Linked DNA regions of Elephas maximus indicus. The protein of the gene in region 2 interacts with the protein of the main gene of each other region in a biochemical or structural test. Links are inferred from orthologs where the notes say so. Each region holds a gene or a part of one and is shown on either strand. Other genes may lie near its edges. The genes, in order: SMAD2 and SMURF2.

The links.
Region 1: the proteins of SMURF2 (region 2) and SMAD2 form a complex in vitro, tested with the Homo sapiens proteins (3 studies listed by BioGRID and IntAct, with this or other methods). The link is inferred for Elephas maximus indicus from reciprocal best matches to the Homo sapiens genes SMURF2 and SMAD2.

Annotation. Positions count from the first base shown.
Region 1 is NC_064829.1:56,501,872-56,517,914, reverse strand, and holds the start of SMAD2 (mothers against decapentaplegic homolog 2), read left to right. Parts: upstream 1-7,756; 5' UTR 7,757-8,075; intron 8,076-8,404; exon of another isoform or gene 8,405-8,490; intron 8,491-12,807; exon of another isoform or gene 12,808-12,878; intron 12,879-16,043. UniProt on the Homo sapiens protein: Receptor-regulated SMAD (R-SMAD) that is an intracellular signal transducer and transcriptional modulator activated by TGF-beta (transforming growth factor) and activin type 1 receptor kinases.
Region 2 is NC_064837.1:55,837,296-55,853,592, forward strand, and holds the start of SMURF2 (E3 ubiquitin-protein ligase SMURF2), read right to left. Parts: upstream 7,302-16,297; 5' UTR 6,810-7,301; coding exon 6,758-6,809; intron 1-6,757. UniProt on the Homo sapiens protein: E3 ubiquitin-protein ligase which accepts ubiquitin from an E2 ubiquitin-conjugating enzyme in the form of a thioester and then directly transfers the ubiquitin to targeted substrates.

The DNA.
Region 1 (16,043 bases), on a different chromosome or scaffold from region 2:
AATTTGTTTGTTCTTCTGGCAGTCCATGATATAATCAATATTCTTCACCAACACCATAATTCAAAGGCACCAATTCTTTAGTCTTCTTATTCATTGTCCAGCTTTTGCATGCATATGAGGTGTTTGAAAATACCATGGCTTGGGTCAGGCACATCTTAGTCCCCAAGGTGACATCTTTGCTTTTTAACATTTTAAAGAGGTCTTTTGCAGAAGATTTGCCCAATGCAATATGTTGTTTGATTTCTTGACTCCTTCAGAAAAGGTGTGCATTGGAATTGTATCCTTCTACCACACTTATTCAACCTGTATGCTAAATAGATAATTCAAGAAGCTGGACTGTATGAAGAATAATGCTGCATCAGGACTGGAGGAAGACTCAATAACAAACTGCAATGTGCAGACGACACAACCTTGATTGCTGAAAGTGAAGAGGATTTGAAGCACTTACTGATGATCAAAGACTACAGCCTCCAGTATGGATTACACCTCAACATAAAGAAAACAAAAGTCCTCACAACTGGACCAATAAGCAACATCATGATAAATGGAGAGTAGACTGAAGTTGTCAAGGATTTCATTTAGATCCACAATCAATGCCCACGAAAGCAGGAGTCAAGAAATGAAACCTCCATGCAGCTATACAATTTACTGCTTGAAACCCACCATTGAAGTCTTTAGGATCCAATAGCAATTGGCTCTTTCCCACCATTAGCATTCTGGCCACTTAGTAGCTAACACAATTCTCATACTCCTTCAGCAAAATGTCTTTTTCAAAGCTAAGGACTGTTTACAGTAAGGACAAACAATTGAGGCTCATTAATTCAATCATTAGGACACTGATTTGTATCTATTGTCTAGTCAGCTGTGTTAAATAAGCTCTTCAGTCTTCATCAGAGCAATTATGCTAATGTGCTTGAAATTTTCTACGAGTTTTATACCTTCATACACTTATCCTGCCTAGAAGCAGCCTGGCTAGTCAATATTGTCATACATAGGCAATTATAATCAAGACAGAAGGCCCTGTTGTTGACATGGGACTGAATTATGCCCCCCTCACAACAGAACTTTAAATGATTTGTATAATATTCTTTCAGGGCTTAGACGTTGGCCACTATTTAGTTTTTTTATCCCAAATGTTTAGATCTCAGATAATACTTAAATGCCTTCCTGGGAGTGCTCATTGTATTGGAATTGACTGTAATTTTCCAAGTAATATTTGAACAATCATTGAATTAGCTATGATCAGTTGTACCTTTAAATGTATAGACAAAAAATGCAAAAATAATTATCAGATGCCTGGAGGATGATGAGAAAAATAACTTGTTGCCAAATACTTTTCTCTCAGCCATAGCCAACTTCTCTCTCAATCTCTTTCTTCAATTCTAAAATGCTTCACCATTATGTCTTGTTTTCCTGCATCTTTGGCCACAGAATGAGGATTTTCCACCATGAACAACAGTGTTTTATGGTAGGTACATAACAGATACCTGATAAATACCTGTTGAGTTTTATTTAACAGTATGTCTTATACATCCTTTAATATCAGTTATTATTTTTTAATAGTTTGAGAGATTTATGTGGTATGTTGCTGTCGTTGGTTCTCTGCACACATCGTTGAGTCAGTTGCAACTCACGGCGACATCACGTGTGCAGAGCACTGCTCCATAGCATTTTCGAGGCTGTGTCCTTTTGGAAGCAGATTGCCAGGCCTGTCTGCCAAGGCACCTCAGGATGGGTTTGAACTGCCAAACTTTCAGATAGCAGTTTAGCCACCCTGGGACCTTCACCTGTTGAATTGCTTTTCTTGTAAATGCCTTATTCTTTTCCCTAGCATTTCCCATCAGATGTTAGATATTTTTTATTTGTAGCAAAAACTAGCATACGAATAAGGCTGTGTGTGTGTATGTGTGTGTGTGTGGAGGCATGTGTGCACACCCTCAACAAAAATTCATTTAAAACATGAAATTTCATTGTATCGAGATAAAAATCCTACTGGCGCTGGATGTCTTCCTTATCATTTACAATAAAAGTAACCCCATACATTTGTTCTTTACAATTTTTACTTAGGTTATCTCATTTAATCAGTGCTCTTAAGGAACTGGGTCTTTCCTTAAGATGTAGTAATTGTCACTGAAACTTAGTTTCACCAGGATGAACAAATACAGAGGTTAGATGTTGACAAGATAGGGCCCAATAGTTTTACTGAAGGCAATTACAAACAGGAAAGATGGGGCCAAGTTGTGCAGGTGCTGGGAGATCCTACTGCAGAGCTATGACATGTAGAGCATTTTTCTGCTATGCAAATGCTATATTTTCACCTTTCTTCAATTCCTTCGTATTTTGGTAAAGATGTGGGAAGACAGCTGAGAGTAAGATGCTTTCCTTGTCCTCTAGGAATTTAGTCTAAATGAGGAGGCAAAACAGGCATACGCAAGAAGTTAAATAATGGCTCAAGACTGAATAGATCAAGGTGTCAATCACAAAAAAGTCACAGTATGTTGTAAAAGGGTAGTAACATCATTAGACCTTACCTAACATTACGGGAGGTGATGAGAATCACCATCAGCACAAAGCCGATTCCCATGAGGTGGAGGTCGGACATGCTTCTACTCTCCAACCTTTTCGTCAATTCTGATACCAGCCATCTTCCCCACAGTGTTCTTCCTCTCTGCTGGGTTCAATAATTTGTTGCAATGGCCATATAGAACTCACAGACTATATTTAAAGTTAAGTGGTTTCTTAAAGAAGTAACAGGGTCCAACTTGGGATCAGGACTAACAGGCTACAACTCAGGATCAGGATCAGGAAGCAGGCAGGCAAAGTCTGCAAGGCTCCCTCAAAGGGGAGAGCACACCCTTCTCTTCTTCAGTGCAGGACCGCTCCCTCGGCTCCCCTCAGCAGTGCAAGCAAGCAGGCCCTTCTCTCTGCCATGCAAGCTCCTTCTCAGCTGTGCAGGCCTCCTCTTAGCCCCCTGAGGACAGGCAAGCTTCTCTGCCTTTGGCCTCTCCACTGCTAACTGATCCAGCTCATAGCCAAGGTAGCGGTTTTGTTCAGCTCTTTTAGCTGCATTGCTAGCAGCAGGTTTCTGCTGTCACCACGGACTCTGCCACAAATCCCGTTCCTAGACTCTGGCTGTCTTCTGTTACAACCCTTGATCTGTGTTGCAGCTCTTTTAGGAGTTTCTGCACCTCTTTTCTTTCTTCTTGCCCTTTCTCCTCTGCTTTCTTCTTTCGGTCTGCAAACCTCTGTGTTATCGACTGCATATATAAGCAAACTTCTGGTCCATTTCAAGGAATGGCTCTCTCACCACGTACATGAACTGACCAATCCCGTCTCAGGAGGCCACAGTCCCTTCATTTGCATAGTAAGCCATAGTCACTCTATTTGCATAAGTATAGTGACCAATCCCTATTTATGCGATCCCTTTCACTCAAGCTGCGTAAAACAGACCAATCATTGGGCAGGCTGCCGCTCAGGGCCAGACAAAGTATCAAACCATCAAGTTGTTTACAGTTTACCCAGGAAATGTCAATCAACGTGGACAAAAGTAACAAATCCTCTGGGGCAGGAAAGTGGGGCAAAGTTAACTCCTCAGGGTTTAGGGGAAAAATCTCTCAGGGTGTTTTTTAAGAGAACTAAGGCAAAAGGCCACATAAAGGAACTCATTGACCACATATGGATATCATTCTGACCAAAGATAGAAAGTTCATAGATGAGTGATATAGCTTTGGGCTGGGGTAGAAAGGAAGGGCTTTACAGATTTACTACAGAAGAGATGGAAGATGTGTCATTCATTTTGAACAGCAACACATGAATATAGTTTTAAAAAATCAAACTACAGAAAAATTAACAATGAAATACCCATGACTCCCAGGCTCTCTTTCTCAAAGCAGCCACCATTACCATTTTTCTTTTGTGTCTGTCTAGTGGATGGCAAAAAAAAAGAAAAAAGTGGATTTAACTACTTTTAAATGGATTCTGAATTGATTTTGATTGATTTTTCAGTGTCACGCATCATGAAGGGTTAAACTTGGGGTCCATCCATATATAAATTAGACTTACTCAGTGTAACTTATACAATAGGAACCTACTGATAGATCTTGAAGTGTCCTAGTGGATTTCCACGCTGATTGTTGCCACAGCAATCCCTGCCCCATCTGCCTTCAATTTCTGTCTTGACCCACTTTGGTTTAGATACTTTTCTAGCAGAGGGACAGTAGGCATGCTCCCATTTGTAAGCCTGTTGGGGACTGCATTGGTAGCCAGATTGCCCCTCCTCCCCTTTCCTCAATCCTACATATCTTGGAAGACTACCTGAGTGGAAGAGTTAGAGACCCAAAGTCCAACACTTTGGAGAGAGGCTTTAACTTAGGCCAAGCATATTACCCACTGAATGAGTGTACCCTCCAGACTGCCCAGCTTCCATACTGAGAGCAGATTCTTCTGGAATCCCGGTCAGCTCTGTTTTTGTTACCACACCTGCTCACCCAGGTGGGCACTCAAATCCACACCCTGGTCACATAGGAGAATGTTTGTGTGATGCAGGACAGCTTTTTATAGGCTGTTTCTTATTAAAACTGTTGATCTGTGCTAGCAGGATGAAGGACCAAAAACCAGAAACAGCCTTTATACTTCTAAGTTGTGTAGCTGGTATTAGTTGTCATTGGACCACCTCCGTTTGACCAAAGGAGCCCTGGTGATCAGTGGTTAAGAGCCTGGCTGCTAACCAAAAGGTTGGCAGTTCAAATCCACTAGCAGCTCCTTGGAAACCCTATGGGGCAGTTCTACTCTGTTCTGTAGGGTCTCTATAAGTCAGAATCAACTAATGGCAACGGGTTTGGGTTTGCCCATGACCATGTTCCCTGGTGGCTCTGGGAAGTGGGAACACAAAGCCAGGAGGTGGAACAGCTCCACCACTTGTCTTCCTGGGTCTCCTTCACACGCTATTTTATAAAAAATGGGTGAGTAAGGCTGCCTCTAAACCAACCATGAAGAAGCCACCCTGAAAGTAAACTTTTTGACGGAACCCCTCCTGCTGAGTAGGCTCATATTTGCATAATGCATACAGGAACAGAAAAGAAATGTTGATTATCGACTTTCTTTTAACTTCAAAGCACTATGCTACTCATTTGCATATTTATTATTCTACTTAATAATCACAAAACTACATTTAAATAGGTATCATTGCAAGTTAGTTCCACTTGCCAAAGATCACGGATGTGGAAGAGCTGCATTCAAAACTACGATTTGCCTAACTCCAGGGTTCATACCCTTCATCACCTTTCAATCAGAAAAGTACTTCCATGCTTTGGGAGAGAGATGGAGATTTTGAGAAGAACTCTGGAAAACCTGTAAGACTCAGACAGAAGGCCAAATATTTCTCAAAGTCCAGCTGAGATTTCCTCCACTTCTGGAAACAGTACACTTTGAGGACTCTGAAATGCTCATTTGGTACTTCTTAATTCGGTATTGCTAGTGATGCTGTCCCACTTGAGTCACTGTGATGGTTAAGATTGTGTGTCAACTTGGCTGGGCCATGGTTCTCAGTGTTTATATGTGATCACCCCCATGATGGGATCTGCTGTGAGTAGCCAATTGGTTGAAAGGGAGTTTCTTCAGGCTTGTGGCCTGTATCTGAATATAAGCGGATGCTCTGGCTTTTGCCTGCTCTGGATCCCACAGCTGGCTCCCGTTTGCCTGACCTCCGATTCTTGGGACTTGAGCTAGCAGCTTACCTGCCAATCCTGGGATTCATGGATCTTCACAACTTGTGAGCAAGAGCCCTGCTCTCCGTCCTGCCGATGTTAGGTTCGCCAGCCCCTGCGGCTACGTGAGTCAGGAGAAGCCTCTATCTTAATTCATGGACTTGGGACATTCCAGCCTCTACAATCTTGTGAGATGTTTCCTTGATATAAATCTCTCTCTGTATGTATTCATATGCTTTACTGGTTTTGCTTCCCTAGAAAACCCAGCCTAAGACAGTCCCCAATTACATTAATGAAGTAGTACATGAGAGAGTGTTGGGCAGGGAGCCAAGAAAACTGTGTCCTAATCTTGTCTCTAAGGAGGCCTGGTGGCACAAACGGTTAGTGGTTGGCTGCTAACTGAAAGGTTAGCGGTTCAAATCTGCTGAATGGTTCTGCTGGAGAAAAGACCTGGATATCTGCTCCAGTAAAGATTACAGCCTAGGAAATCCTTTGGGGAAGTTCTACTCTGTCCCATAGGATCACTATGAGTTGCAACTGACTCCATGGCACCCAAAACAACAGTAGTCTTGTCCTTGCCACAAACTACCTGTGTGAAACCTGAGATTCTTTCCAACTTCAGTTCTCTGGTGCCCCCTGCCTAACGTAAACCAAAAAAACCAAACCCTTTACAGTCGATTCCAACTCATAGGCACCCTATAAGACAGAGTAGAACTGCCCCCATAGGGTTTCCAAGGAGCAGCTGGTGGATTCGAACTGCACCCAAGTTGTCAACCTAACATAGTCGGTGCTTAAAATTTTTTTATGATTAAAAACCCATTTTGGAGTCGATTCTAACACATAGTGACCCCGTAGGACAGAGCAGAACTTCCCCGTTGGGTTTCCAAGGCTGTAGATCTACAGAAAAGTAGACTGCCACATCTTTCTCCCAAGGAGCTGCTGGTGGGTTTGAACTGCTCAGCTTTAAGTTAGCAGGCAAATTCTTAACCAGTGCACTACCAGGGCTCCTCCTTGATGTGATTACCACTACACCGCCAGGGTTCCCTTGAAGTGATTAGTTAGGTTTAATATTCTCGTCAGCATAGGTTTGGGTGTCCCTACGGTAAACGCGGCACGGTTATCCGAGGGCGGTTGCACCCCAGCCTTGGGCAGTCAGCAGCTTAGGGCTCTGCTGCCTTCCCTGGCGCAGATGTGTCAAGTTCAGGCCTGGGAACATACTGGTTGCAAGAAGGCATGCCAAAACTGTGGAGAAATGAAAAACGGAAAATAACCCAATAATTATTAGGCATATTGCCAGGCGCTTATCTTTTTAAACTTCACAACGATGGTTCAGAAATGCATTATTAGCACCACTGTTACTGAAACTGGAAACCAAGATGCAGGTTACACCAAAATACCTGGTATCCCTTTCCCTCACCCTAAATACACAGAGAAAGTACATCCCTCTGGCTCTCGGCTTATTTACATCTCGGACCCCGCCCCCGCCTAGCACCACGAGGGGCCACGCCCACTCATTTGCATACGGGCGCGCCCAGTTGCGGGCGGGTACCGGGCTCTTTCTGTCCCTTGCCCGTCCTATTCTCGGGGCAGCTAGGAGCCTCCCCCAGGCATGAGCACGTGCTCACCCGGCTTAACGACGGAAAGTGGACGAGGCAGCAGCCCCCAAATCGGCCCCACCCAATGGCGCTGGCAGGGACCAAGGAAGGGGCCCAGGAAGCGGCAACGAGAGCCGGTGGTCGCTGGGGATTATTTTCCCAGCGCGGCAGGTTACGTGCCTTCCACTCTTCCCTCCCTTTCCCAGAGTCGCTTCTGGGAGGGTGCCGGAATTGAAATCAGCCGAGACCGCTCGCGTCCAGCCCCTCCTCGGCCTCTGCCGCCAGCCGGCCGCGCCTCGCCTCACGCTCTACGGGGGAGGCGGGACCAATCAGCGCGCGACGTCTCCCTTCCGATTCAAGGCTCCGGACGCTAGGCTCACACCCCGGCCAGCCCGCGCGCTGATTGGCTGCGAGCGCCGCCGGTCCAGCCGGGTGGGCGGGGCGGCCGAAGGGAAAGGGAGGCGGGGAGGTAGTGGCCCGCGACTCTCGGCGCCCCGCTCGCCCCCAGCCCTTCCCTTGGCGCTCGGCCTCCTTCCTTCCCTCCTCCGCTCCCTTCATCTGCTGTGCGCGCGGAGCGCTCTGCTCGGCCGGCGTTCCTCGCGCCCTAACAGGCGGGTGGGGGCGCCAATCAGCGGGCGGCAGGGTGCCAGCCCCGGGGCTGCGCCGGCGAATCGGCGGGGCCCGCGGTGGGAGGCGGGTCTAGCCGCGCGGCCGCGGCGGCGGAGGAGCAGCTCGCCAGCCAGCAGCCAGCGAGCGCCGAGCGGGCCGCCGGGAGGTGGGTGCGCTGCGCCGCTGCGGCCGCGGTGTGAGGGCGGCGGGCGGAAGCGGAGGTGGCCGGTGGGCGCGGCGGGGGAGGGCTTGGCGTCCGGGGCCGGGAGGGGAGGTCCGGGCGCGCGCGCGCGAGGGGAGGAGGGGCGGCGGCGGGACGCGCGCGTCCCCACCCCCTCCTTCTCCGGCGGGCGGTGGCGGCCGGGCCCGCGACCCTCCCCTTGCCCGGCTGCGCGCCGGGAACTGAGCTGGGGGGCGGGGTGGGGCGGGAAGCCGGGCGGCTGGGAGTGTTTTCAGTTCCGCCTCCAATCGACCATTCCCCTCTTCCCCTCCCAGCCCCCTCCATCCCATTCGGAAGAGGAAAGAACAAAAGGTCCCGGACCCCCGGATCTGACGGGGCGGGACCTGGAGCCCCGGTCCAGGTAAAGCCCCCGTGCCCGGCGGCCCTGGGGGTAGGGGTGTGTTTGTGTTTGGCTTGGGTCGGTAAGATTCGCCGTGTCACATGGCCACGGGCCGTTGGGGGTTGGGGTGTGGCGGGGTTGGGGGCAGTGGGTGCGCCGGGCTTTCGGATGGACGAGGATCGAAGGGGCCAGGGGAAGGCCGAAAGGGAAGGGGCCAAACGTGCCAGCGCCGCGTCCTGGAGCTGCGGGCGAGCCTGGTCCGGGGCGCGGGCCGATGTGTCTCTTCTCCTCCGCTGGTAACACACTTGCTAGTTTGTGGTTCTGATTTTTAAAGTCGAAGGGACAGAGCTCTTATTTCAGGAGTTGTTGGAAAGCCGTGTTACGAGTGTGAGATACTTTCTTTGCTTCCAGTTTTTTTGGTCTTGCAACCTTTGTTAACCATAATAGTCTCCGGTTCTGAATTGCTTGTGTGTGCTCACATAAACACGCACACGGCTGCTACTCTGTCGAGATCATTCTTTACTCGGGAAAGTTGCTTCGTGAGTGGAGGCGATTAGTTTTTATCACCCGCCTTGAGAAAGCACGGTAACTTATTTCGTGTATTTAAAACTTGGTTTTCAAAATTGCAACTTTAATGATTTTTTTCTCTTTTGGTGGACTACTGGCCTTGGGTAGTGTACTTTTGTCTGCTGCTTACTTACTCTCAGGTAGTTATGCTTTCCTTTTGATCCCAAACAAAAGAAAAACAATACCTAGGTTGGTTTTGTTATTCCTCCCTCTTGACCCTTTAGAAGCCAAATACTGTTGGTTTGCTGTCAGCAAAACCTTTGTTGAAAAGAATTGCTAGGCAAAACGAATTTGGAAGTAGTATTATCCGTCAAAGTCATGTCTTGTTTGCTACAGTTTGGAGTATATCAGTTTTGGTGTCTTGAACTACATACAGTAAAATGATTATAAGTAAGTGATCACACAAACTTATCTCAGCTTTTCAAAAATGGTCTCTGAAAATTAAGTTAATTTCCAGAATTCTGAATGAGTCTGTATTTCCTTTTCATTTTCTCTCTTCTAATTTCATACGAATTGAACCTGTGCCACTGATAGTAAAGATGTTTTCCTCTAGCCTAATAAGATAATAAATTTGCTGTTATTATGCTGAAAATACATTTGTTCTAGTTTTGACCTCTTTTAACAAAAAGATTCTAACATGGAAGTATAACTCAAATAGTTAGCAAAGCATTTATATTAAATTCAGAAAGTAATACTGATTGTATTTTTAGAGTTTCTCAGTTTTTGTCATAAAGTGTGGTAGATAGTAAATAAAATGTCTTTGGGCATTTCTAAAGTGAGTGCCCACTTTCTGTTAAAATCTGCTATTGAGTTTGAAGGAGTTCATTGGCCATTTTTATTTAGTGTTGGAAACATCTGTTTCTGTATTTTAGTAAAATGTTGCTCTTAGAAGCTTGGTTTTTATACTTTGTAGTACACCTTCTGAAGCAGTGATTTCTCATTGTAGATGTTTAACAAAAGTTTGGTTTTTCAAGGATGTAACTGTGTATCTAGTCATAAGTGGTCAATTTCCTACACAAACTATAAGGTTCATGAAATACTAGTCTTGTAAGAAACTGTGCAGGGTAATTTCCTGTTGTTTGTGGCTTGTCAGCCTTGGTAATATGTTTTAACTCTTAAGTAGGAATTTTGGGGATGATTTTGTGTATTTCCAGCCTTCAACTCAGAAGTTCTCCTTAACAGGAACAAAGGTTGTTTCTACTTCAGGTTGGGGGGGGGTAGGGGGTGGGAGGCTGCCCTTTTCATTGTCATATTGTAAACGTTAGGATTTTGTTGCAGTAATCTCATTACTTCTCACTGGGGGACATAATGTGCACTAGAAACACTCAGTTTAGCTGCATAAACTGATGAATGTTTACATTTTGAAAATATTTTCACTTTTGGCTTTTAGGCCTAAAAGCTTGCTTTCTTCTTGTTGGGTTTTGATTCTGTTGGTTTTGTATTTTAAGACTCCAGAAGCCTCGTTTTGTAGCAGCTTTTTTGTACAGGTGTTTTTGTAATGCATATAAAAGCTGTATTAAGTGCAGTCTGGCAGATGGAAGTTTATTCATATTCTTGGGACAAGAGTCATTTTTAGGGGGTTGAGAGGGGCGTGTCTTTTAGCTTCCTCCTATTTTGATGGGAGTGGAAGAGCCATTTTTAGGCCTTCAGTTTCTGTAAAGGAAAGTGTTTCCCACTAAGTATTGTAAGGGTGGTCAGAAAACTTCAAAGGTAAAGATTTCGGAAACAGTTCAGGAGACGTTATGCATTTATCCAACAGGTAACTTTTATTTATTGAACCAGTAGCATTTATTCATTTATTCAGTGAATAACATGTATTCAACAAATAGCCTTTTTTGCGCGTCAGGCCCTGGGCTAGGCAATGAAGTATTTAGCGGCCAACAGTTAATACCCCTATTCCTTAATGGAATTAGAAAAGTGGAAATTCCTAATGCCCCTTGCCCCACTCCCCAGTATTTAGAATAAGAAAATTATGTTAGTGTACAAATTTAGGGAACGTGTGATAAATTCATGACCGAGCTGGTTCCTGAAGTACGCTCGCATTGCTTTCTACCCAGTGTAGAGGGCAGCACTAGGGAAGATGGGAAGTGTTAATAACTCTTTGTGTCTTTGGAAACAGCCCATGTATTTTGGGGAGAACCTGTTAACATTTTTATACAGTGTATACAAATTGGAGATTAGGCCAATCTTTCAGTAGTGTGTTGCTGAACCGATGGACACTTGCAGAGCTAAGCTGAATTTGGCATTAGTTCATTAGTTTGATTATCCATTGCCCTTTAGGTATAGAGACTGGTTGGGGAAAGGAAGAAAACTTGACTCAGGTCAGACTTAAGCATACGGATCAGGAATAAAGTATAAAGACAATTAGCTAAACTGGAGAATAAGGATTGTCCAGCAATCTCATATAGTGAAAAAGCCATGGATTTTACCATGTTGGGCAGATTGCTTAACTCCTGAGCCTTGGTTTTCTGACTGAAAATGGAGGTAATAACACCTATGTCTTAAGATTAAATGATGATAATTAAAGTATCTAGAACATTGCCTGAGACGTAACGGGTCCTCCCAAATGATCTGTTCTCTTGCTCTGGTCTTGTGGTTTTCAGTCATTTGTGCCCTTTCTAATCCAGATGACTTGCTTCCACCCTTATCTTTGACCTATTATAGAGGAGGCACTAAGCAGAAAAGACTGAGGTAGCCAGATTGTCCAAGTCCATACCTTAAAGCTTCAGTCATGGGAGAACCATTGAGCCCCATTGTCAGAGCCTGTTGGTGTTTATTTAAAATATTTCTAATAAGCCTAGTTACCTGGCTTCTAAACCCATAGTAGATTAGAAACTAGTAGATTGTGGATAGTTTAGGAGGTTAAGAAGGGTTGTGGTGGGGGCTGGTTGGAGGATGGAGAACTGTTAGCCTACTGTCTATTGTAAGAAAAAACAGATAACAGCCTGGCAGGGTAATAGAGATAATCCACAGGACACACAAACAAATATTCAAAGCCTAACTAGCATGCCTGGGGCCATTCAGTGCAGGACCTGACCTGAAAGCATAGTAATGAATGTTCATCAATTAGGTTAACTCATATTTGGGAAAATTTTTTAAGAGTGCAGCAGTCTACATAAAATATCGTAGACTGTCATTGGGATGATTAACAAATGTTCCTCAAGAGATAAAACATTCTGCTATTTTGAATGACTTATTTCACAGAAGATCCACAAAGTACCTACTGTGACCAAGATGTTTCGCATTTGCTTTGCCATTGAAAGAGCCATGATTCCAGACTGAAAAATCTTTTATGCTAGGCCAGTAGTAAAGAAAAGCTATCTAACTGGTGTAGCACCTCATGGCACACCTTTTCTTCAGAGGAAGTCATTCAGTCTTTTTTCAGGCTGGAGTTTATGGAGAACTTCACTTAGGTTTTGCGATACGGAGTGTGCTAGAGATTTCCAGGGCCTACCACTTGTGGAGGAGCCCTGGTAGCTGCTAACCAAAAGGTCAGCGGTTCAAACCCACCAGCTGCTCCATGGGATAAAAGACCTGGTGATCTGCTTCTATAAAGATTACAGCCTTGGAAACTATTAAAAAAAAAAGAAAAAAACCAAACCTGTTGCTGTCAGGTCGATTCCGACTCATAGTGACCCTATCTGACAGAGTAGAACTGCCCCATAGAGTTTTCAAGGAGCGCCTGGTGGAGTCAAACTGCCGACCTTTTGGTTAGCAGCCGTAACACTTAACCACTATCCCACCAGGGTTTCCAGAAGAAAGTTAAAGTGTTGCATTGGCTGGGAATCGAACCCAGGCCTTCCACATGGCAGGTGAGAATTCTGCCACTGAACCACCAATGCTGAATGGCTTGGAAACTATGGGCAGTTCTGATCTGTCCTGTAGGGCTGCTATGAGTGAGACTCAACATGACAGCAATGGGTTTGGTTCTTTTTTCTTTTTTTTTTTTTTTTTAACAGCAAGGGTTTTGGTTTGGTTTTTTAAGCATGTGTGGACCAGTCTGTCCATTGAGGGCTTTTTGTTTTATATACCCAGTGCTGTCGAGTCGATTCTGACTCATAGTGACCCTATAGGACAAAACAGCACTGCTGTGGGGTTCCCAAGGAGCGCTTGATGGATTCGAACTGCAGACCTTTTGGTTAGCAACCATAACTCTTAACCACTGTGCCACCAGGGTTTCCTTTTATATGTGACCATAATGCCTGATACTAACCTTTTTTTGGTTTTTTCTTCCTACTTCTGGGTTACTTTCTAAACCATGTACTTTATTAAATATTTATTGGTGACCTTGTACTGTGTCGCTTTGGCTATTTAAAAAGTAGTAATATTTTTTAGCAGTAGTATAAAAGTAATCCATCCTTTTTTAGATAAAAATGCACAGTTAGAGGCTTACTGCTAGTCACTGATCTGTGTGATAATGTCTCTAGAGTGGCAAAACCGTGATAGTGTATTTAGTTAGGACATAATTCACTGCTGATTCTAGATCTACATGTTGTAGGCAGCTCCCAGCTTCAATTCCAGCAGTTTCTTGTAGGGAAGATGTAATTTTGCCATGCTGGTGGATTGCCTCTAGTTTGGCTAGATAGCCAGAAATATTAGGGTGATTCCATAACTTATGTATTTGCCTTATATTCTAGAGTGGGGGGTGGTTCCTTTTGAGCTTGAAGGGCTCCTCGTATTTGTAACTGAGGCACACTGATAGGACAGATGCTTGACAATTTAGATATATCTTTAGGTTTTGTACTCTTGAGAAAACAAATCCTAAAGTTGGATTCATTCTCATTAAATTTTTCTTGAATTTACTGTGAAATTGTCACTAGTTCTTCCAGGTAGCTCTATAAATCTTCAAAACCCGGAATTAAGTTGGCCTTGGGGCTGCAGAGCAATGAAAAGTGATTGTAGACTTCATTTACCATCTGCTCATGTGCAGTTTGCATTTCATTTCCCTGAAAAATCTACAGTGCCCTACCTCCCTTCCTTGTCTCATTGGGGAGGGAATAATTTCAGGTTTAATGTACAGGTAGTCCCTGCCTTACGTTGGGGTTCTGTTCTGATGACTCCGTCGTAAGTTGGTTCTGACATAAATTGAATAATTGATGTAAACTTTTTAGTTTTCATTATTATTGCCTTTTACTATCAGTAAGTTTATAAATCTCATCTTTATCTTTCAACATCTGCGCGTGAACATCCGAGATAACATCAGGAAATTATGCACTGCAGCATTGTATGTAGTACATGTTACTAACGATAAGTTGTACAAAAAAACCAGACAGAGCGTTGTTAAGTGTGGTTCCTTGTTTAACTCCAGTACGCCGTGGATTAGGGACTACCTGTATTCAGTTAGTAAGGAAGAAGAATGAGCCATTGAAAGTCCAACAGGTTCATTCCCTTGAGTCCGTTAGTTCAAAAAGACTTCTGTCTGAAAAAGTAGCATAGTAAATCTGTAATCTCTTAGTTCTCCTGTGTTGTATGCTGCTTCAACTAATTCCAAAAATTCTATAAAGATAGTGGTTAAGGGCTTGTAAATATTAAGAAAATGCTCTGTCTTAATCACATTTTTCGTTATAAGATGCGGGGCTGTGAATCTGGCTTGCCAGGTTCATGGCACAAACCCCGGTAAGTGGTGCAGTGGAAGCTGGGCCCGTGAGTCTTCCCCCTTGACTTGGATGAACTCTTGAAACTTTGTTTTTTGACCAGAGATGTGAATGAACATTTTCCATGTTCAGACCAGTCTTCTTAAAGATTTCACAGATAGGTGGTTAGACTCTAGTCCTTGTTCGCTGACCAGTTAAACTTCTCTTTTAAAAACTGTTTAAGTATCAGGAGGTTCACCTTTGGCCTGAGGTTTGTGCATCAGGCATTTCGGCTTTAAACCAGCAGTTTTCAGACTTAAAGCATGCACACATCTAGGTGCGCAAAGGCCACCAGAAAGGCTTAAAAAATGTTATGCGGAATTTCAGAATGTAAGACTGATAAAAAGACAAAAACTTTTTTTGTCTGGGGGGGCGGGAGAGGGAGGATGGGCAGTGCTGAAGTCCTACCTGCTCAGGTTCCCTATCATTCTTACCTCCAGTAAGCCTTTGAAGGAGCACCAAGGAACAGTATTACCTATTGCCATCAAGTCTGTTCCGGCTCAGAGCAACCCTGTAGGGCAGAGTAGAACTGCCCTGTAGGTTTTCCAAGGCTGTAATCTTTATGGAAGCAGACTGCCACATCTTTCTCCTGTGGAGAGGCTGGTGGGTTGGAACCACTAACCTTTCAGTTAGCAGCTGAGCGCTTAACACTGTGCTACCAGAGCTACTGGGAACAATATTAGAGAAAAATATTCGCAGTACACCTTCACTGTCCAGTATGGTGGCCACTAGCCACATGTGGACTTGAAATGAGACTAGTGTGACTGAGGAACTGAATGTTAAATTTTCATGAATTAATTTTAATCTAAATTTAAGTAGCCATACATGACTAGTGACTGCTGTATTGGATAGCCCAGATAAAGGACATGTCCATCAGTGTAGAAGGTTCTATTGGACAGCACTACTCTATAAAGACCTTGCATTAATTGAATTTTTACAGCCTGAGGACTGTATCCACAAGATTTGGGTGAAGACAGACTGGGAATTTGAAGGACAGTTAGAGCACTTAAATCTCATGCTGATTTGAGTCTGGGCTTGTGTAGTATTCTCATAGGTGCTTTTTTTTGTGCTTTAAGTGAAAGTTTACAGCTCAAGTTAGTTTCTCGTACAAAAATTTATACACACATTATTATGTGACCCTAGTTGCTCTCTGTAATGTGATGGCACACTCCTCCTTTGCATCCTGGGTTTCCCATGTCCATTCAGTCAGCTTCTGTCCCTTTCTGCCTTCTCATCTCGCCTCCAGATAAGAGCTGTCCATTTTGTCTCTCATGTATCTACTTGAACTAAGAAGCACACTCTTCACAAGTATCATTTTATGTCTTACAGTCCAGTCTAATCTTTGTCTGAAGAGTGGGCTTCAGGAATGGTCTT
Region 2 (16,297 bases):
ATTTTTAAATGTTAACATTCAACTGTAAGGCTAAAAATTGATACCTAGAAAACCAGCATAAAGTGAAATACTATTAGGCTTAGTATTCAGTGAAATCAGAAAATATACATAACTGCATTCCTAAATACGAACAAATTAGAAAACACAATTAAAATGCCACAAGTATAAATTAGCCAGAAATAACTTAAAACATAAGAAGAAAACAATCCTGAATCAATAGGGGGCAACACCTTAAATGTCGAAACGTGGCTCCTAGTTGAGTTAAATTATATATATAAATGCCGCTTTTTCCCAATATAATGCAATTTTAATCATAATCCCATTGAAATTTCTTTTTAAACTTAACAAGTTTAATATTCACATGGAAGAGGACGTGAAACTAGCAAAAACTATTTCTGACGCAATTAAAATATTAAATTATAAAGCTGCAATAATGAAAACAGTGTGCCATCGAGTTGATTCTGACATATAGTGACCCTACTGGACAAAGAAGAACTGCCCATAGGGTTTCCAAGGATGTAAATCTTTATGGAAGCAGATTGCCACATCTTTCTTTCACTGAGCGACTGGTGTGTTTGAACCACTAACCTTTTGGTTAGTAGCCAAGAGCTTAACCACTGTACCACAAGGGCTCCTTATGGCCCTATAGAACAAATAACAGCCCAGACACTACTGTAACTAAATTAATATACTAAAAAGTCATCAGTGTGGATAGAAGGAACTGGCTAATAAATAATAAGGCAACTAAATAGCAATTTGGGGGAATAATCTTTTTAAACCACTTTAAAATAAATTATTTATCAAGCCTCTTGAAGAAGGCCTTCCTAAGTATAAAATAAGAAAAGGAAAAGAAAAACTGGACAGTTTTGACTTCTAAAATAACAAATTTCTGCACGTTCAAAAATGGTCAAAATTAAAAAGCAATAACAGACCAGGAAAATATGTATAGCAAATATGACAACAGGTTAATACCTTTTTAAATCTCAGGCAGCTCAATAAGGAAAACAGTAAGGCTCTAACAGGTTACAAATCAACAAGAGAAAAATACATATATATATACAGAATTAGTAAACACACAGGAAAATACTCACCTTCACGAATAAATTTTTAAATACTATATAAAAACTTTATATCCATGAAATTAGCAAAAAAAAATTTTTAAATAGCCAATGCTGATACTAGAACAGTAAAAAGGGACACCTATTCTCTGCTGCTTTAAAGAGACACAATCCTTTTAGGAAGCAACCTGGGGAGAAAACGCATCAACAGACTTAAAAAAAATCCACACCCTTTTATCCAATAGCACTACTGCTACAGAAATAGCCTTTAAAAAAGTTAATCTTCACCAAGATGTTCACAGCAATTATTTGTAGGTAATTTATTAGGAAATAAATTTTAAAATGAGAAAAAGTTCTAGGGGTAAACGTCCTTCAGTGAGTTAGCTCTACACAAGAGCCTTGTACAGCCACAAAGAGATCAACTCAGGTCAGGGAAAGTTCTAGGGGTAAGAATAATCCTTGAGTTGAGTCTATAAAGATGAGTAAGGATTTCAAGAAGCAGGAGTAATTCCAAGTGAACAGAATTTATTTCATCTTATTTTTTCCACACAAATTCTAATGGGCTTGTAACAGGCTGTCTAAACAGACATGTACTTAACCTGTCCAAGTCTGTTTCCCTTACCTCACAGAGCTGTGGTGAAAACTAAGAGTGATACTAAATGTAAACTTAATACGGTGCCTGGCAGTTAATAAGTATTCATATGGAAACACATAACATAGCTGATTACAACTGTTTATTTCAAGGGTATAGCATTCTTAGAGCAGGGAAAGTAACAGTAAAGAAAAACGGTGGCAGAGAGAAAAACCAGCAAAAAAAAGTTAAACCACCTATTACCATATAAACCAAAAAACCAAACCCACTGTCATCAAATAGATTCTGACTCATGGCGACCCTATGTGTTACAGAGTAGAATTGCTCCATAGGGTTTTCTTGGCTGTAATCTTTATGGAGCCCTAGTGGCACAATGGTTAAGCGCTCACTGCTAACCAAATCGTTGGGAGTTTCAAACCCTCCAGCAGCTCCACAGGAGAAAAGATCTAGAAATCAACCTGCTTCCATAAAGATTACAGCCTAGGAAAATCTATGGGGCAGTTCTGCTCTGTCCTATGGGTCGCTATGAGCCAGGATCTACTCAACAGCACACTACAACAACAACCTTTATGGAAACAGTTTGCCAGGCCTTTCTTCCACGAGGCCGCTGGGTGGCTTCAAATCCCCAATCTTTAGGTTAGCAGCTAATGGCAACCATCTACGCCACCCAGGAACCTTATTACCATATATATGCAGGGTTAAAGAGTTCTCTCTACAGGCCATGATGATATCCTCATACTACATGTTACAACAGCACAATAATTTATATCTATAATGATACTGAATCATAAACAAAACACTGTTAAGTATGGTCTATTTGAAAAGAGTAGGACATATTACATCTTTAAAAGACTCTCATCAAAAGCATGCATAATCATCTTGTGTGCCTAAAGTGGGGCCCTTCATTTACCTTGAAAATTGAATTATATGTTAAATATGCTAAATTATATGCTAGATGTATACTGTTGTTGTTAGTTACAATTCAGTTGATACCAACTCATGGTGACCCCATGTGTGCAAAAGAGAACTATGTCCCATAGGATTTCCTAGGCTGTAATCTTTACAGGAAGGAGCCCTGGTGGTGCTGTGGTTAATACACTCTGCTGCTAATCAAACGGTCAGCGGTTCAACTCACCAGCTGTTCCAAAGAAGAGAGATGTGGCAGTCTGCTTCCATAAAGAGGACTGCCTTGGAAGCCCTATGGGACAGTTCTATTCTGTTCTATAGGGTTGCTATGAGTCCAAATTGACCCAGTGGGTTTAATCTTTTTGGGAACAGACTGCGTGATCTTTCTCCCAGGGAGCCAGTGAGGGGGTTCAAACCGCCAGCCTTTTGGTCAGCAGCTGAGTGTTTAACCACTGCACCACCAGAGCTTCTTAGATATATGCTAGCATACCTAAATAAACAAGATGCTAGTATGTACGTTGTGACAGTAATACCTCAACCAACAAGGGAAAAACAGAATTCATGATTAAACGCACACACTTTACTAATCAATGAAAGCCAAACTACATGAAGCATGTAAGCAAGTTCTACTGCCAGTCTGAAGAGGGTCAGACTAGAAGAGATAACTTAAGAGAAAAGGAAGGACCTAAGCCACGTTGGCTTCTTCTCAGAAAACAAGAAAGTAAAACAAACTGGGAACATTCAAATCACTAACAGCCTTAGAGTAAGTCACTGCGGTGTACAGACACACTTCGACCTAGAAGCTTGTGAGACAAAATCAATTTTTAAAACTTTGAATGATTAAAATATGGAATGAAACAATATTATGATACTAGAATATCTAAACGGATATTTTTTAATTACTGTTCATTTAGCTACATACAAGGTTAACCTCATTACTGCCAAGATTTTACAATAACATGAGGCGCAGAACAGAAAAACATTGAAATTTCAAGAAGGTCTGCAATAAATGTTCTGGAGAAGTAATCTGTTATTTCTCCATATCTAAGAATTATAAAATGTTAGAAATTTAACTAAAATGCTTTTTCCAGCCTTCAGATTTTCATAAACAATGATCACGTACAAATATTATTATTTCCTATCCAAACCAATGTAAGAAAAGCTTTTATCGGATATATTTGAATTTTACATTTTATAATCAGTTTTCTCTAGAAACACTAATTGAAGTTAACAGCTTTACCATACAGCCCATTTTAATAATCAAGTGTTAATGCGTCACCAAAAAAACAGAAATAGCTTGATGGAACAGGCCAGATTTTAATTACCAAAGGCCTGAGGAACCACAAATTTGGGGTCAAATTAGTCCTGCCTTCAACAAATACCAAATAGTTCACTAGTCGGTTGTGGTCTTAGGAATAGCATGTGGAAAAATCTAATATCCAGTGTGGGCAGAGATCCCATGGCTCAAATATTTCATCTTTCAGTTCGCGCGTGCGTCTGCCTCACCATGAAGGAACTGTTTACACCTTTCATTAAAAGGGCAACTCTACGTTAAAAATATAATTGAGTCAGCTACAGTTCATAAAGCATCTTGAAATCAAAGGCACTCTATAAACTTAAAATATTAGTATAGTACTAACTTAAATAAAGCAAAGATGAATAATTTTAAAGCATCTTATAGTCCAAGTATGTTGTAAACCACATAAAAATTTACAGTGCAATCTGACTTTTTTGAAGTGATTTTTCTTCTATTATGGAACTCACATCTAAATGAACTATTAAACACTTAGTCTAAAAGTATGCCAAACATTTCTTAAGATCTTAACAAAGAACCAATTTTTTTTTTTTTTTTAAACAAAACAAGGCCTAGGTTAAATATTTTATTTGGCTTCTCAAGATGGACTGAGAAGTTGGGCACCAGCTCCAGACCAATTCCTGGATGCACATCAAACACAGCCCTGTCATTTATCCAGTCAGTCAAAACAATCTTTTCCATCTAACCCTTTAATGTTTATGTCCTAAAAAGCTGCTAACTGAATCCAGCTCTTGAGGTCTATTTGTTAAAATCTATACCATCTAATTTGTAAATGATAAACAAACATGAAAAAATATGTTAATTTTCCTGGCAAAACAGAAGAGAATTGACCATACGGAACAAAAGGGAGGACAATTTTTTTTTTTTTTTAATCGCCGAATTTTAAGAGCAAGCTATTCAGAGATATAGTCCCAATGATTTTAAGAAATTGGGAGTACCATAAAATATTTTTACAAACGAAAGGAATAATCAATGACACAAGTTATTTAAAATTCCTCAGAAAAATCTTAAAATACAAAATCTCCACAAATTTAGTCCAATACTCCTGCCTCCCCCTTCAAAACAAAAAGTGTAATCTTTTCTTCTAACAAATTTTATTCATGAATTTTTGTAATATTTATTTTATACAGTATGGAAACCACAAACATTTCAACATCTATTGAGTTGCTAAAAATCTCAAAATCATTTTATCTGCAGAAAATAAAAACCATCTCCTCCCTCACTGTTTCAGTTTGGATACAGCCTAAAGGGAAGCTAACGGCCACAGCCTATTTCTGACGCCTTCTGCACACCTGGAGTCACAGGTTCTTTCCAGGATCACAGACACCGGCCAGACTCCAGAAGAGGAACAGCAGTAGATAAACTCTAAAGCAACAAAGATCCCTTATAAAGGTTTCCATTGACTCCTAAGAAAATAAGGAAACTGAGTGGGAGGAGGGGGAGGCAGGGAGAACGGCATCCCCCAATCCAGGTTTTCCATTAAGAACCACTCAGTTAATGATTCTTCACAATTTTCCCTAGGGAAAGTAAAACTGTCGTGAAAGTAACATATTTTTTAAATTGTAGCCAACCTACATCCAAACTAAATTCTCAAATACCAAAGTCACTGCAAGTTTTTATCAAGAAAGTTCAGCCAGTGGACTGGGATGTGACACACAAGTATTCAACTACAAAATTAGTCCATATAAATCCCAAACTCTAACGCAGGCAAACATAACTACAGTTTATTCTTACACACACACACCCTGTAAGAAAAACCACCTTTCTCACCACACATCCGAATATAAACGTGAATAATTTATTAATGGTGAAACTAGGATAACTACACTGATTTCACTTACGTTTTTCCAAACCAAAACTATTTCGTCCTTAAAATAGGTTAACATGTAAGAATGCCAAAAAACGGCACTGGAAGCTCAATGTACCTGCAATGCTAAAGTTTTAAAGCACCGGGAATCGTAAACACTTTTTGTTAAGAGTATTCTTCTATCAAGCAAGCCCTCCGGACATGCTTTTCCACTAGCAATCTTTAGAAAAAGGCGAAAGGGCAGAGGGTGTGAAAGTTCTCTTGAAAGTTGGTACGATCACGTACTTAGAAATTTACCCCCTCCAAAAAGTATTTTAAAGCAGGTCTAGAGTTAGAAGTGAGACCCAAGTTTTGCGGCCTACAAGGAACAACCCCCAGACAAGCTAACCTACAATCAAACACTTCCAAAACACAGAGTGTACAATGAGCCCGAGTCGGCGGATCAGGCAGCCACACCGGAAAAGTCAACCTCAGTCGGCTTCCCTCCCGAAGACGTTCATTTAAGGTGTGTGGCACCCGCGGCTCTGGCTGGCAGCAGAGAGGAAAGCTTTCGCACGCGGGCATACGTGGGTGTGCAAGTGAACAACCAAGGAACGAACACACACACACACACAACACACACACACAACACACACACACACACTCCCGTTAGCGCTCCATCGTTAAGGGGTGTTTACTGCGCGCAGTCAGCAACCGGATTCAATAATCCCCGGCACCCGGGCTACTCATCCCTCCAACGACCCCACCTGGGCACCCGCCCAGGGCTGCTTCCCGAGGCCCAGGGCGAGCGCCGGGCTCCTCGGCCAAGACTCCGCGACCTCAACTTCGCATGGAATTCAGCCGATCTGCCCCTCCCCTCAACAAAAGGCCCCCGAGTCTCCCTCGGCTGTTGCAGAGATTGACAAACCAGAGCGAGTGGTCTCCAGTGACTCTCCCCGCACTAGGCCCTCCCACGGCCCCGACCCCCAACTCACCACTGATCGCGACCCTGGCCCTTCCCAAGGCCACAGGCACCCCCCGCCGGCTCGCCCACCCCGCGGCCGCCCCGGCCGGGGTCCCGCCGCCCGTCCCCCCCTCACCTGTCAGGCGCAGCTTGACCGGCCCGTTCCTCCGGCCTCCCGGGTTAGACATGTCCCCGGCGGCGGGGGCGGCGGCGGGGCTCCGGCTGCAGACGCGGGGCCCGGGCCGGCGGGCGGGCGGGGCGGGGGCGACGGCGAGGCGCGGCGGAGTCACCACAGCGTCCGGGGCTGGGGCCCGAGCAGCCGGCGCCGCGGCCGCCGCGGCCGGAGGGTCCCGGATGTGCCGAGCGTCGTCGCCATGAGCCGCGGAGGGAGCGGGACGCCGAGCTCCCCCCTCCTCCCACTTCTCCTTCCTCGGCCCGGGCCGCACAACAAAGCGGCAGCCGCGGCCGGCCGCGCCGCCTCCGCCCGCGCCTCTGCCGCCTCCGCACAGCCGCCTCGCGCCTTTCCCTCCGCTCGGCTCGGCGAGGGCCACGACCCGACAGGGCTGGTCGGCTGAAGCGGGCGGCGCTCCGCGGCGGCGCCGGAGCAAGGCTCAGGGCTCGGCCGCTTCCTCTTCTACCCGCCCTCTTGTCTGAGGGAACCGGGTCCTGGGGCCGCCGCCGCCGCCACTCGTCGTCTCCGGGGGGCGGGGAGGAGGCGGGAGGCGGGGCCGGCGGGGCGGGGCGGGGCCTGGCGGGGCCGAGCAGGGGGCGGGGCCGGCCGAGCGGGGTGCCCGGGCCGTGGGGGCGTGGGGCCCGGGCGCGGCCGGGACGAGAGCCGCAGGGAGTGGCGCGCTGAGGTGCGCACGCTCTTTACCTTTGGGCGGGCAGCGGAGGGTCGCACACAGAACTTGAGGGAGCGGGCAAAGGAAAAAAGAAGTCGGTGGCGGCAGCTCTGTGGCACCAGGAAGAAACTTAATGTCCTGGCCACTTAAGGGAGAGCTTTTGTCTACTCGGGACCATTTATTAGACGCCCACTGCGTGTAGGGCTCTCTGAGGGACTGGGGTGAGCAAGTAGAACCGAGTCCACTTCGCTCTGGGAATTTAGCGTCGCTGAGCAGAGGGAAGAGGCACTATCACCACACCGAAGGTTCCAGAAAATTCCCAGGGGAGCTTTGCTCCTAGTATTGTTGCCACCTCCATCCAGAACTCACCTGGTGGATGAGATCAGGTTACCTGCCTGCTCGGGCTTTTTTTCGGTTATAGCGCGAGAGTAGGAGAATGATAGTGTCTTAAGGGGATGTTAACAAGATAAACCTTAAAGAGCAATATATAAAAAGCTTTTCGTACAGTACTATATTTCGTTGCCTTAGGAGAAAAATAAAAATAAGTGTACCTTACCCTTTGACCCCGCAGGTGCATTCCTAGTAATTTATTCTTGACACATAATTTGGAATAAGGAAATAACACTATGTACAAAAGATGTTCTTCGAAAAGTTGTTTGAAAAAGAAGGTGGATGAGGGAAGAGTCTAATAATGAATTATATTACATCAACGGGATGGACTTCCATGCAGCTATTGAAAATGGCAGTTGTGAAGAGCATGTAACATGGAAGAGTTCACATTTAGTGCAAAGTTTAAAAGCAGAATAAAATGTTGTGTGTATACCTGCAGAAGAGTCCTGGTGGTGCAGTGGTTCAGCACTTGGCTACTAACCGAAAGGTCAGAGGTTCAAACCCAACAGCCACTCCTCTGGAGAAATGACCTGGCAATCTGCTCCCATAAAGATTTACAGCCTTGGAAACCCTATGAGGCAGTCCTACGCTGTCCTATATAGTCGCTATGAGTCAGAATCAACTCAACAACAATGGATATGGATATACCTGCAAAAGTCTCTTTGCACAATGGGAAAAAAAAAAAAAAACAGTTGCCTTCCAGCGATTCTGACTCATGGTGACCCCATGTGTGTCAAAGTAGAACTATGCTCCATAGGGTTTTCACAATGGCTGATTTTTTGGAAGTAGATCGCCAGGACTTCACTTCCAAGGCGCCTCTGGGTGCACTGAAACATCTGACCTTTCTGTTAACTGTTAGTACCACCCAGGGACTCCTATGCATAATGAAAACGAGTGATAAGGATGACAGTGTCGGGAATTTTTTGTGTGCTTTGTTCATTTCATTTAAGGCTGTAGTACTTCTAATGCAATTTTAAATTTTTTTGTAATTTAAAATATTTTTTATTTTACGAAACATTTTTGAACGTCCCTCTTAGGCCTGCTCCAGACCCATGGCAGTCTATTTAGCTATGTCAGTCAAGGCTCTGCAGGGAGGAGGCCACCCAGGTCTTCTCACCCTGAAGGAACACCACTCCCTGATGGATGTAGAACATGATTCAGCCAAAGGTGTAGAGCTTCATGTCACTTCCCGATGACAGGCATGTGCTCCTTGGCCTTGGTCTGAATGAGGTCCTTAGAGTTCATGGGCATTGAGCTGGCAGCCATGCTGATGTCCCTCTGGACCATGTCCTCATACTGGAAGTCCTTCCTCTGCTCCACGTGGGTGAGATAGGCAATGTTTTCCCTAGCTCTGGGCTGAATGTAGGCACCAACATTGGAGGATACTGCCCTGTTCATGATATCAAGTGTTTCACTAAATGTGTCCTTAATGGATGGACGTGCCAGCACTTGGTCTGAGAACACAGATTTCCAACCCTGGTACCACTTGGTGATCTCATAATTTGGGCTGTTACTGAGCCAGGAGCATAGCACCTGATGCCACTTGGGGAGAAGCTGTTTTCAAGAAGCCCTACGGCTGGAGACAGAGATCATCCCTTCACAGTCAATCATCCAATAAAAGGCCTCCATGTACTGCTGATGGCAGTTAAGGACGAGCTCACCAAGACACATCCCCAGCTTGTATACGATGTTCTTGACCATGAATGCTTCCCAGGAATCAGGAGTGAAGATATCTTTCCAGGGCCGGAGGGTGAGCTTAGCAGAGGATGCCCTGGCATACCACTTCTGCAGGGCACTGGACAGCTTGCTGCGGATGAGGGGATACAGTGGCTCCAGCCACACCTGCATGAGGGGAAGCCATGGATGGATCCAAAAATGGATGGGTATAGTGTCAGTCAGTGGGTTCCAATTTTCCACCTCCTTCTGAAGCTCGGGGAAGACAGCCTTGTCCAGTATGTTATCTAAATCCACACAGGAATAATGTGCACCCAGCTATCCAAAAAGTCCACCACTGAGTCACAGTTCCTTGGTTGCTACCAGGTGACAATATTTCAAACAAAAGGCATCCAAACTTCCCATATCAGCCTGTGAAGGCATCTGCCAAGAGGTCCTGCCCTCTACGGGACAAGAGCTGGTCATTCTTTATAAAGCTTTTACACTTGGAAATTATTTTGGTGCCATATGTACAGTCTCAAAGGGGATCCCACTCCTTGGAGTACTCCTTCATGAGTGTATAGACAATGGCCACAGTAAGCTCCACTCAATCAGACATCCTGTAATTACTCCTCATAGTACTTTTTCTGGAGGGTTTCAAAGATGCAGACACAATAATACAGGGTGAGAAGGTTGCTGCAGTTGGGCTGCATCTGCCACTCACACTCCTCTACCATCTCCAGGACCTTGTTGAGGCTGGAGGTGACCTTCTCCTCAGGGTCCAGGACCTCGGACATCTTCTCCAGCTCTTGGGAGAGGTTGACCACCATGTCCCACTCATACTTCAGCTGCCAGTCATTCTGGCTGATCCCCTGCTCCTTGAGGTCAATGAGCAGCTGCAGGTTGTGCTCTAGCCAGGAGGAGATTACGCGGTAAGTAAAGTAAGCATGGGCTTACTTGTGCTTACTTACTAATGTGGAGTAAACTATTTCACATGGGTTTGTGAACACATGTGAAATTACTCATTACAGATTAGTAAGCAAGCACAAGTAAACCCGTGTTTACCTTGCTCACTGGGTAATCCATCCCTGTCAGAGACTGCAAATTTGAAAAGAGAATTTGATTTTGTAAGAAGATACTGTGGGGTTGGGAGAGAGACAGATGCCAGCCATATCTAGAAGCAGAATCTTTGACGTGGCAAAAAAAATGTGAAATTGTTCACTAGAGATGATCTGGTAAGCAAGGTAAGCACCATACTTACCTTGCCTATTGGATAATCCACCCCTGGCTCCAGCTCAGAAAATGAAAAGCCTGGGGGCTTGGCCTCTTTGCCAGGCGGTGGCAGCTGTCGTGACTGCAGCAGCAACCTGCCATCAGGGACGCTGTGCTTGTGGCTGATGTGACAGTAGCTATGGTAGACCTGCTCCTGGCCTGTCACCTATACAACTTTGACCTTCTTGGTGAGCTTCTTACTAATCCTGCCCTTGGCCTCCAGCTCTTCCCCTGTCTTGTAAGAGTATTTGGGCTTCTTGCTTCCGCTGGAGACTTTCCTCCACTGGCTCAGTTCCTTCTGAAACTGCTATTCGGTTTCCTCGCCTGAGTCAACCACGGGGAAGTCTTGCAGGGACTGAATGGTTCGCTCCGAGCTGTACACCCCTACAGCTCCTTTTCCCCTTTCTCTGTTTGGCTTCGAATGGGTTGATTATACCTTGTGCATTCTTCTTGAGGCCACTTCCAGGAACACACCCCACCTTTTGAAGAAGCTTCTGTCCAATTTCTTTCGTGTGTCTTCCTCAGCTGCCAAAGGCCATGAAAGACTTGATTCTTCCTGCAAAACTTTTCTGGCTGGGTTTTAAATTGCTACTGGTTTTTCAATTCCTTAGTCTGAAAAATCCTTAGGAAAGTCATCCTGCTTAACAGGTTTCTCTTGGTCATCAGAATCTTCAACTCCGCCTCTTCTGCGGCCCCTTTCTTGAGCCAGCTCTGAAGAAATTGACTGGCGCATAGTCGTGATCCCGTATGCCTCCAAAACTAGGCCTCTCATCACCCAAGTCGCGCTCTGCCTACACCCTGTAGGTGGCCTCTTCCTTGGTCTGCCAGAGGCGCTGCCAGCTGGGACTAAACTCATTCTGGAGATGCCAGTCAGTGATCTCAAAATTCTACCGCTTATTCTCGTTATCATCCATGAGGCGTTTTCATCCGGGTCCAAGTGGGATAGCAACATAGCCACTTATGCCCTGGGTGCAGCTGGTCCCAACTTCATTCCGGAATGCACAGAGACAAATGTTCTCAAAGGAACCAGGGAGTCCTCTCCAGTGTCTCCTAGGCCTCACTCACCATTCAGATTTCCTGCATACCAAAGACAGCCTCCAACCACTCCTGAGGGCTGGAACCTGTATATGAGGACTGGTGTGCTGGAAATGACATCACCAACAGCGGTAATGTCGCCCTGGCTGCCATGGCAGCAAGGGAATGCCCTTCTTTTAAAGATTTAATAAAGTCTAATATATTTTAATCCTAATTCCCCATCAGTCATTTCTTTTATTCACCAGTTAAGTCACTTTATTCTCCAGATGAAGTTACCTCCAAGAGCCTCTTATTAATCTGATAACCAAACCAGTTGCCATGGAGTTGATTCTGACTCAGGGCAACTCCATGTATGCGCCATAGAGTTTTCAATAGCTGATTTTTTGGAAGCAGATCACCAGGCCTTTCTTCTGAGGTACCTCTGGGTGGACTCCAATCTCCAAACTTTTGTTCAGCAAGGTTAATAGTTCGTACCACCCTGGGACTCCCATCAGCCTAATATATCCCTACAATTAAAGTGATGTCAGACTAGAAATATGAGGGACAGTGCTAGAAATTCATTCAACAAATATCGAGCACCTACTGTGTGCAAAGCAATAAACAAGGTCCTTTGGACCTGAAGATGAATTGATTTGAACAATAACTATCACAATTTATGAAGCTGGATAATTGCAATAAAATTTAGCAAACTGCTGAATACATACACATTTTCCTTATTCGTAGATCACATGCTTTGTTCCCAACCACTCGCTAACATAATTTGCAGCTTTGCATTAGATAACAGAAGTTAGGACTTCAGAAAGTGTTGGGGGAGGTGGAAGACACTTTGCCTATTATGAAGTTTAAAGCAGTACTCAAACATGTAAGCGAGAAAAATGTTTACATGTGTAAAGTACAGACAAAGACTCAGGTTTCCTCTGCATATTAAATTATAAATTTACATTCTTTTTTTTTTAAAGATTCAGCAAAAATAATACTTTAAAACCATTCAAAATACTGGTAATGGTCTTTTTCTTAAGCTGGGTATATGTACGTTCATTTTATTATTCTTTTCCTTACCATGTTAAATATCATTTGACATTGATTTTAAACATCTAATTAAAATAAAATTAAAAAAAACTAAGTAACTAAAGGTTTAAAATGAGGTAAAATAAATGACAAAATAAAATGCAGTAACACTAATTGGAGAGTCATTCTGAATACCTCTCCCAATTCAGTGGCCTCAGCTGGTCCAAGACCAGATTTCTTAGATTTTGGGCCATATGTCAGAAGCCTTAAAAAATATTTATACATTTCCCCCCTACGGTGTGATGGATCACTTTCATGTGGCCTTTCTCACCATAGTCTTTTAACCGCCCCCCCTGCAAGTGATTGGGTGGGACTACGTAAGTAAAGTAATTGTGGCCCACCAAGGGCACTGGTCAGCTTTGCATCCCGCTTGGCTTGAAATAAGCCATCCCAAAGGTGGGAAAGAGAAGATGCCACCATCATCAAAAGGGAACAGCCAAGAGCAGAGCACATCCTTTGGACCCGGGATTCCAGCGCTGAGAAGCTCCTGGAACCAGGAGACAGAGAGAAAAGGCTGTACCACTGAAGACAGCAAGAATCTGTGGCAGAGAAATGGTGGCAGCAGGAGACGGCATGGTGGGGTTCCCCGCCCATGGAGCAAGAAAGCTGAGTACCTTTGGGTAGGAGGCTTGCTGGCAGAGTAGGGTAGCCTCCAGGCACTTGGTGGAGTGAGGTTTGCTGACCCAAGGAGCTACAGCTGAGCACCTTCAGGCTGAGGTTTACTAGAAGAGTAGGGTGCCTTTGGGCACTTATTGGCAGAGCTAAATGAACTTTTGTAGCAGGGCACAGGCCAAGGGCCCAGAGAGAGGCCTGCATGTGGGCACAGCTAAGAAGAGGCTGTCCTAATGGAAGAACTGTCCCCTAAGTGTTCCCGAGCCTGGACTGTAATCTGTTACTTTCATAACAAACTCCATAATCATGAATATTGTCTGAATTCTGTGTGGCCATTGCAATGAATAATCAAACCCAGCAATGAAGCAGAGAGTGCTCTGGGAGGGACTGCTGGTGTCAGAATTGGTAAAGGTGGTGCAAAGAGGAGGCCTATCTGACCTCTGCCTCATAGGGATCAGCCTTGGGCTGTTGATCTTGATTCTCTTCCCTGCTTGTGAAGTCAGAAAAGGTTAGACACTGCCCCCACGCCACTTTTACACCCCCTCTGAGGCATTTTTAAGGTACAGTATAACGAAAATATGCAGAAACCACCAAACTGGTAGGAAGAATGCAGTAAGAACAAAGAAGAAAATGAATCAGGGTGGGCAGGGGTTAGGAATCTTATACAATATCAACAATATGCAATCAGGTTTAAAAGTCATTTTGAGAACTAAAGGTATTTCAGAGCATAGAAAAGGATGGAATACTACCAAATTCATTCTATGAAGCCACCATATCCCTGATACCAAAACCAGGTAAAGACACCACAAGAAAAGAAAATTATAGACCTATATTCCTCATGAATGTAGATGTAAAAATCCTCAACAAAATTCTAGCCCATAGAATTCAACAACATATCAAAAAATAATTCACCATGACCAAGTGGGATTCATACCAGGTATGCAGGGATGGTTCAACATTAGAAAAACAATTAATGTAACCCACCACATAAATAAAACGAAAGACAAGAATCACATGATTTTATCAATTGATGCAGAAAAGGCATTTGACATAGTTCAACACTCATTCACGATAAAAACTCTCAGCAAATTAGGAATAGAAGGAAAATTTCTCAACATAATAAAGGGCATTTATACAAAGCCAACAGCCAACATCACCCTAAATGGAGAGAGCCTGAAAACAGTCCCACTGAGATCGGGAACCAGACAATGATGCCCTTTATCACCGCTCTTATTCAGCATTGTGCTGGAAGTCCTAGCCAGAGCAATTAGGCTAGATAAAGAAATAAAGGGCATCCAGATCGGCAAGGAAGAAGTAAAAGTATCTCTATTTGCAGATGACATGATCTTATACACAGAAAACCCTAAGGAATCCTCCAGAAAACTACTGAAACTAATAGAAGAGTTCGGCAGAGCACCGGGATACAAGATAAACATACAAAAATCAGTTGGATTCCTCTACACCAACAAAAAGAACATCGAACAGGAAATCACCAAATCAATACCATTTACAGTACCCCCAAGAAGATAAAATACTTAGGAATAAATCTTACCGGAGATGTAAAAGATTTATACAAAGAAAACTACAGTACACTTCTGCAAGAAACCAAAAGAGACTTACATAAGAGGAAGAACATACCTTGCTCATGGATAGAAAGACTTAACATTATAAAAATGTCTATTCTACCAAAAGCGATCTATACATTTAATGCAATTCTGATCCAAATCCCAACGACATTCTTTAATGAGATAGAGAAACAAATCACCAATTTCATATGGAAGGGAAAGAGGCCCCGGATAAATAAGGCATAACTGAAAAAGAAGAACAAAGTAGGAGGCCTTACTTTCCCTGATTTTAGAACCTATTATAACGCCACAGTAGTCAGAACAGCCTGGTACTGGTACAACAACAGATACACGGACCAATGGAACAGAATTGAGAATCCAGACATAAATCCATCCACATATGAGCAGCTGATATTTGACAAAGGCCCCAAAACAGTTAAGTGGGGAAAAGACAGTCTTTTTAACAAATGGTGCTGGCATAACTGGATATCCATCTGCAAAAAAATGAAACAAGACCCATACCTCACTCCATGCACAAAAACTAACTCAAAATGGATCAAAGACCTAAATATAAGATCTAAAACGATAAAGATCATGGAAGAAAAAATAGGGACAACGTTAGGAGCCCTAATACATGTCATAAACAGTATACAAAACATTATAAAGAACACAGAAGAAAAACCAGATAACTGGGAGCTCCTAAAAATCAAACACTTATGCTCATCCAAAGACTTCACCAAAAGAGTAAAAAGGCTACCTACAGACTGGGAGAAAGTTTTTAGCTATGACATTTCTGATCAGTGCCTGATCTCTAAAATCTACATAATACTGCAAAAACTCAACTGCAAAAAGACAAATAGCCCAATTAAAAAATGGGCAAAAGATATGAATAGACACTTCACTAAAGAAGACATTCAGGTAGCTAACAGATATATGAGGAAATGTTGACGATCATTAGCCATTAGAGAAATGCAGATCAAAACTACAATGAGATTTCATCTCACTCCAACAAGGCTGGCATTAATCCAAAAAACACAAAATAGTAAATGTTGGAGAGGCTGTGGAGAGATTGGAACACTTCTACACTGCTGGTGGGAATGTAAAATGGTACAACCACTTTGGAAATCGATTTGGCGCTTCCTTAAAAAGCTAGAAATAGAACTACCATATGATCCAGCAATCCCACCCCTTGGAATATATCCTAGAGAAATAAGAGCCTTTACACGAACAGATATACGC